2 linked regions of the Neodiprion lecontei genome follow. The protein of the gene in region 2 purifies or fractionates together with the protein of the main gene of each other region. This does not show direct contact. Links are inferred from orthologs where the notes say so. Each region holds a gene or a part of one and is shown on either strand. Other genes may lie near its edges.

What was found. Proteins that work in one complex are often made in the same cells at the same time.
Region 1: the proteins of PHD finger protein 14 (region 2) and high mobility group protein 20A purify together in Homo sapiens (affinity purification with mass spectrometry; 3 studies listed by BioGRID and IntAct, counting the BioPlex papers as one, with this or other methods). This does not show direct contact. The link is inferred for Neodiprion lecontei from reciprocal best matches to the Homo sapiens genes PHF14 and HMG20A.

Annotation. Positions count from the first base shown.
Region 1 is NC_060263.1:14,866,030-14,869,784, forward strand, and holds high mobility group protein 20A, read left to right. Parts: upstream 1-710; 5' UTR 711-1,299; coding exon 1,300-1,384; intron 1,385-1,507; coding exon 1,508-1,688; intron 1,689-1,854; coding exon 1,855-1,969; intron 1,970-2,090; coding exon 2,091-2,255; intron 2,256-2,319; coding exon 2,320-2,401; intron 2,402-2,482; coding exon 2,483-2,698; intron 2,699-2,798; coding exon 2,799-2,935; 3' UTR 2,936-3,471; downstream 3,472-3,755. UniProt on the Homo sapiens protein: Plays a role in neuronal differentiation as chromatin-associated protein. Acts as inhibitor of HMG20B. Overcomes the repressive effects of the neuronal silencer REST and induces the activation of neuronal-specific genes.
Region 2 is NC_060262.1:25,242,817-25,246,571, forward strand, and holds the start of PHD finger protein 14, read right to left. Parts: upstream 2,708-3,755; 5' UTR 2,517-2,707; coding exon 2,474-2,516; intron 1,759-2,473; exon of another isoform or gene 1,605-1,758; coding exon of another isoform or gene 1,592-1,604; intron 1,405-1,591; coding exon 1,240-1,404; intron 1,156-1,239; coding exon 910-1,155; intron 694-909; coding exon 482-693; intron 146-481; coding exon 1-145. UniProt on the Homo sapiens protein: Histone-binding protein. Binds preferentially to unmodified histone H3 but can also bind to a lesser extent to histone H3 trimethylated at 'Lys-9' (H3K9me3) as well as to histone H3 monomethylated at 'Lys-27' (H3K27ac) and trimethylated at 'Lys-27' (H3K27me3).

The sequences.
Region 1 (3,755 bases), on a different chromosome or scaffold from region 2:
TGGTAGATGGCCCAGTAGGGAGGGAAATGTAACACGTAGGTAAACTATTTAATATAATTTTACAAACGTGTATTATTGAACAGAAGATGGCTATGTTGAAACTTGTACAATCTGCTTTATTCGCGTCGGCGTCAAACAAGCTTGTGCAAGCAAATTTTAACTGCACCACAAAGAGTATGTTGTGATAGAGGGGCGGGATTTACTCCGTTCGGCAATTTGATCAATTGTGCTAAATTTTTCGCCTACAGGAGGTGCATCGGACTACAGTCATAATCTATGACTATGGTAGCACAAAAATAAGCTTTTCACGAACGAACACAGAAGCAGCGCCATGTTTTCATGATTCAAAAATTGAATTATGTAAAACGATAATCGAGATACCAAGATAAGTTTCCACAATATAATCACTTTAGTTGTGTTATTAACCCTGTAACTCGTCATAAGTGGTATAAAGTAAAGATTGAATTAATTTGCTTTATGCCAATTACAGGGTAGAAAAATTCAGAATTGATGAGCCGCGTAGACTTAAAATCTTTGGGATCGATGAATTATCGGAGACTCACTTTGATCTATCTCTAGACGATGTGTGATCTCGTGAATTTTTTCGTGATATTTCTCTAGATCTTCTAGAAGATCTGGAACGATCTTTTCCTTTGTCGTGCATCACTATGTGTGCACAGGATTTCATTTCGTGAATGTTATTTAAAACAAATCTAAATTTAATCACGTCGACTGAAGGCGTTACTGAAGGAGTGAAGATCATAACAAATAAAATCGAACAAACGACATTCAAACGAGGCATTCATTTACCAGCCGTGGATTAGGGGGCGCTCTTTTTTCCATTCAATTCAACCGTTTTTACGTCATGCGTTTGGTCAACAGTCCTTCTTGCCAAGGTTCGTGGCTGAGACGTAAAAAAAATTGAAATCATAACCTCAAAGAAGCGTCATTTCGAGTTCTTTTTGACGAGCATTAAATAATAACAGCATTGCGCGTTATTTATGGAAATAATAGAGCCGAGATTGCAAGGCTTGCGAAGTGTCAGTTTTCGAAGTCTGGTTTTTGTCGAGCTGTTTTTAGGGATTGTATGCAAAGAGGAAGAGCAGGCGGATTTTTGTAAACAAATATCTCTGAGAGTGAGTGATTGAAAAATTCTCAATTACTCAACGATCTTGTTGGCAGTTTCTTTTCTTTGAATTCAAAAAACGCATTGTTCGTCACCTGGATCTCGACATGTTTCGATCCATCTTCAATCCGATATGCGTCTATGATTATTAATTAGCTTGAGAATATCGAAGAATGAGTGAAACTGCTGTTACCAACGAAATGGTCGAACTAAATGGAGGGTCAGCGCAACCTGCCCTCAATGGAGAAGCTGAGAACAGTGAGTACCATCTGTAATAACACAGCGCTTTGAAAAATACCAGCCACCTGTGAATATTGAATTTCCGTACTACCAACATCTGACTTCACATTGTTCATGATTTTTTATCCTCCTTCTTCACAGACAAATCACCTGGAACTGTAGAAGACAAAGTTCCTGACTCTGGTGTAGATAGCGACCAAAAAAAAGGCCAAACTGCCGTCGTCGCCAGTAGCGGTACAGCTTCCGTTAGTAGGGGTAAAAAACGGAAAAAGGCTCCTCGTGATGCAACGGCACCCAAACAGCCACTGACTGGATATTTTCGGTGAGAATCTTTGACTTGCGCTGCCTACTCAGTTGTCTTTAGAAAGTCGGACACATTTCTTCTGGTTACTACGCAATAACCACTCAAACAATCTGCTGGCAAAGTTCAGTCGAAAGATGCTTTTACTTATTTTTGAATGGTGCCAAATTCTTTCTGTATCCTTCAGATTCTTGAACGATCGGCGAGAAAAGGTGAGGACTGAGAATCCTTCCATACCGTTTCCCGAGATTACTAAGATGCTAGCTGCGGAGTGGAGTTCACTACCGGTAGATCAGAAACAGGTGAGTTTTGAGAACCAAAAGTTGAACCTTGTTGACAACATTATTTTACAGCTAATTTCTGCAGCTTCCAGACTCTGAGGAAGATCATTTTTTTTGAACATTCATTCTGTGGTTGTTATAGCAATATCTAGATGCTGCTGAGCAGGACAAGGAACGTTACAACCGGGAGATCACTGACTACAAGCAAACTGAAGCATATCGTTTGTTTAGTGAAAAACAGAACAACGAGAAGCTCAGTGAGAATAAAAAAGAGAGAAACGGAACGGAACCAACCTTGGAACAAAATGTACGTATCATGCAGTACTGTCGTTAATTCAGTCTTTTTGAAATGACTTAATATTCTTTTTTAGGAAGTACAGCAAGAGAAGGATCACGATTTCTCTGGATTTGATATTCCAATTTTTACAGAAGAATTTTTGGATCATAACAAAGGTAATATCTCGAACATTTCAGCATATATTTATTGCATTATCCTAATACAAGACAATCCTCATATCAATTATTTTCCCTCAGCTTGCGAAGCTGAGTTGCGCCAGCTACGAAAAGCCACCTCCGATTATGAGGCTCAAAACGCAGTCCTTCAGCGCCATGTAGACAGTTTGCACGCTGCTGTCAATAGATTAGAGTCCGAAACAAGCCAGCAGCGTGCGACTAATCAATCGCTTCAGCGTCATCTCGACTCACTACGATCCCAATTAGCAGGGAGCTTTGCTACTATACCTTTACAAGGTAGTTTGATCCTAAAAAAAGATTATACAAACCATTGTGGCACCGCTTTCAGAACCTAATACTCCTGTACTGTAACCTTATCTATTTTCCCCATTGTTAGGCACTCACGACGGCGCTACCTTGCAGAATATCGACGGATATGTCGAGAGACTAGAATCTCTACTTAGCAGTAACGTAGATCCTGGACTGCGAAATACCGTTCGTGCCGCGGTATCACGCCTGGAGTTGATTGGATGACGGTCACCCCCTGTAACGACAACAGCAACGATCCCAATTACTACAAACTCTATAACGACCTTGAAACATCATCGCTCGCGTCATTCCCATCGAAAATGAGTTTATTGATGGAACTGAACCAAGTTGAACTCTATCAGTTTGGTAAAAATGATAAAAATCTTCCTATTCCTTGTTGAGTTGGAAGAAACGGAACTTCTGAGTAAAAGAATCGAGTCATGTAACCACTGTGGTAACGAGACACAGAGATACTGGGTGAAAATAAATCTAAATCATGAGAAGGACGTTCGACCACTTTATAAAAGAAGTGTGAGTAAACGCCCTATGTTGTATATAGCACTGCGAAAGTTCGCAATGATCATGTATTTGAATCGATAGCTTTAGATTAGCTCTTAAACGTACGTGTAAAGTGTAATTTAATTACTTGAGTTATGTAGAAGTGAGGGAGAAGAAAAAGTTATCTCTGAAACATTCAATTATTACTAGTATTTATATTTTGTTTTTTTTGTCTTCAATTTAATTAAACTTTCAGCTACGCAGCTCATTTTGGTTCAATTACTTGTTTCCCTTGAGGATTAAGTGTCGTATTATTTTTAACTGCAGTAATTACACGAAGCTGATTATCAAAATGGCTATAGATTTTATTTAATCTTACTTCGAATGATTGTATTATTCCATTTTGGTTTTCATAAATTGGCACGAAAAGGTTTTACTCTGAGAGTTATTATGGAATGTAAACTGCCAGAGATTTACAGAGTCTTGAGTATGATTTTGGGCTTAATCATTGTTAATTAAATGTGCAAATCATTAATATTGGTAGGAT
Region 2 (3,755 bases):
GAAAGTATGTATGGCACATCCCTGCATCACACTCAATACAGACGCCAGTTCGAGCATAGCGAGCGTCTTCGCACAAGCAGCACTGCTTCGCTCCCCATTTGCTGTATGCCATTTCAAACAATGTTACACTTGCCAGACGGTCCACCTATTTTAATCACATGATTGATACGAATCTCCTGATTATTTAATACTGACAATAATTTCAATGCCAATCAAGATGGAAACAAAGATTTAAAATAATTACACTCAACAAATTCAAGGGTTCTTACACTGAAACACTGGAAAGAATCAGAATTTTTCGAAATTTTTTATATCTGCATTGCATTTAAGTAACAAAATTTTGTTCAATAGCGCGGAATATCAAAGTTTATATATTTTACTATAGAACTTTGCATTAAAACTATCTACTACACAATGTGTAGATCTAAAACACTATGCTCCTTAATCTATCATTGGTATAAATGACAAGACAGTGTCTTACCTCTCCAAAAGCAACCCCAGGAACGTACAAGGCGCATACAAGATGAACCCATTTCCCGACGTCGGTCTCTTTGAAAATTCCACCTTTATTGGGGCAGAGTTCACACGAAGGATCGTCAACACCAGCACTACAAGCTTCGCAGAACCATGGTGCTGACTGGCAAAGTGAATCGGTGCTAGAAAAGCTCTCAACATCGGAAACGCCATAGCAGCCTGTGTGGAGGATAAAAAATTCGTAGTAGTAATGATCAATCCGTCCAGTCATAATGTGGCTCACGCTTTCATGCAATTCAGAGCAAACAATGCTCAGACATATCTATTAATTCTTGTTAGATTTCAAACATTTATGGTTCGTTTAAAGTGTCAAAGATGTGTAATAAAGTCTGGTACCTATTGATACCTATAAAATAAATACAAGTTAATAATTACCTTCGTGAACAGTGACCCCACATCCATCGCACTCAACAATTTCATTAATATCGTCGCTTCTGTCTCCCAAACAACCGCAACAGATCAAAACTTTAGCAACTTTTTCATCGAATTGGCCAGCTTTGGCAGCTTGTTGCCGTGCTTGTTCAATCACATCACAGACCGTCATCCCACCAATCCCTTTTCCGCGAACCAAAGGTTCTTCGAGAGAATCATCGGTCTCTTCTGATTCATCGTCGTCTTCATCTGAAGAAGAGGAAGTAAAAGATTAGCAGTTGTCCTAAACACTTTTGCGTTGTTCTAAAGTTGAAAATATGTAGCTTTGCCTACCTTTTCCAACATCGTGAGAGTCAACGGAATCGTCGTCTGACTCCTCACAATGATCTTCGATTCTGAAATCGCTGTCATCCGAACTCTCGCCCAAATCGAAATCAAGCAATGATTGTTGGGCCGAATCGACGGGTTTGACTCGTCTTTTCTTTGGATCACGTTCAACTTTGGAGAAAGAATTGAAAAATTGATGAATACGGATACAAGTTGGATATTTTTTCTAGTTATTCTACCTGATTTCCACGTCGTGAAAACAAACGACATTATCGTAAAATGACACCAAAAAATTTGAGCACGCAAGGAAAAAGGTTAGTATAGGTTATGTGTCGGACTTTAATGCTGGAATACTCACATGAACTACTCATCGTGTTTAAAAACGGACCTGACACTATACCGATATCACATTCAATGGGAATCGGAGCAAAAATAACGCGCCGAGAATAATAATTTCTCTTTCATCTGCCACCCCGTTTTACACGATTCATAGCCCGAATGCTTGGCTTGGCGGTGGTTCCCACTTCGCACTCCGGTTTATGTATCGAGGCAGATTTTCCCCTGAATCCCTAAATCCCTAAATATCCCCCCCACTGCTGTCAAGACTTGTCGTAGAATCACCACCCCTCACGCGTTTCGCACGCTATGTGACAGTGTGCGTGTTTCTGTGCACGTATCAAACTCTGTGATGCATGCATACCACGATCCGACATTCATGCGTGCGTATCGCCATCGTTTACCGGCACATGTCACGCTGCGTTCATTGACTTCGCAAAACGCCGGTTGACGCCACACGTTGTGCACCCGAAATTTACGTGCGAAATGATTTGCCGTTCGCGTTTTTGATCGTTCTATAGTTATCCGCGTATGCAATTATTTTTGGAAACTTAAATCGCCACCCTATTTCGATTTATTCCCAGCTCGCGTTGACACCATTCTACACGATTCCAAAAAGTAACGTTACTCCTTGTAAATAAGATAATAGTTCGATTGTATTTTGATACCTTCAATTACAGATCATTCGCACACTCGATAGCGAGTTATAAAACGCAATATACGGTTGCGTGGATAATAAACCACGTTCTCTAAATGCTGTCGTCTATTTAAATTTCGAAGCAATAACACGACGTATCACAACTATAATGAATGTATGGTGAATGAACTATAGACACGTTCGTACACATTGCAGATTGCCTGGATCATTGACAATAACAGACGCAGGTCTAGAACAGGTACTCACTCATTGTTTTGTATAAAAATCCTACATCGTCGTCTTGAGACATGATCGCCGTAACTCAACTGCACAACCTCTTTTCTGCGCTAATAGTGTGATTTATTTGCGTTAGCTAGAGTATAAAATTCTGTCAAGATTTGCAGCTGTCAATCGGAACATTCGACAAAAAAAAGCTTCGAAACGCACCCCTCACTTTTATCTTTACAACCTGACTGTAGCTCGCAGCCCACAGGTAATACCCCTCGGAACTTAAAGCACGAATTGTCCTGGACCAATACACTTTGATGAAGTTGCGCATATCGACGCGCCTCTCTTCTGCGCAGGTGGTACATTTATAGATATCCGCCATAACGAACGTCTACGAATTTTGTCCTACGGCGCTGATTTTCAAATTCCTGATTCTCCGTTCATCGATTAAGAACAATATCGATTGGAATTTCTTACGATTTATAGATGATTGAGCACTCAAGATAATTCTTAATATTCTGTACCTACCTGAAAAAAATTATTACGTCACAGTGCAAATGTATTTATATTTTTACAACGTAAAACATTACTCGTAATATTCATCAATTTACTATCTTGTAATAGAGAAGTTAAAGAATGTACAACAATCAGGCTTGATACATATTTCAGAACTAATTCTTTATCACCGGTACATGAATTTTCAATAATCACTGAAGCTTATGTAATTGAGTAGATTATCGGTCAAAACGCATCCTACAATTTTTGTACCGTAACCAGCGCAATCTTAGTAAATATCCACTAGATTCTGCAATAATAATTAACGCGTCACATTTCTAATGGTGTACGTATCGATTGCAAGATTTCGATGCCTGCTACTAGTTACACATTTTTTCTGACTCCATATTATCCCCTTATAATAGGCTTCCGACCTTCGGATCAACCCGAGGGAAGTACTAATTCGTGTTCCTAATTGACCGATAATACCTTGAAACAACTTGCCGTACAGACTTTCAGTATGTTTTTCAGTTTATTTAACAGTCACGGTAGGAACCATTTGACAAATTGAAATGGATACTATATTAGCTTTACTGGAAATTTGACGTATTTACTTGGTTGCCTTTCACACCAGAATTTTGCCTCAAAATATTTTGTTCCAGCGAAGTCTAGAACGACAGTCAGCTGAACTTTTAAGAATAACTTCGGCTGGTCTTTGATACTATACCTATTGTGAGGTTATTGGGGCCTTTTGTATTAATACTGAATTACAGAGTACCACTATTTTTCACCAGTAAACTATTAACTAACTACTACACTTCTAATA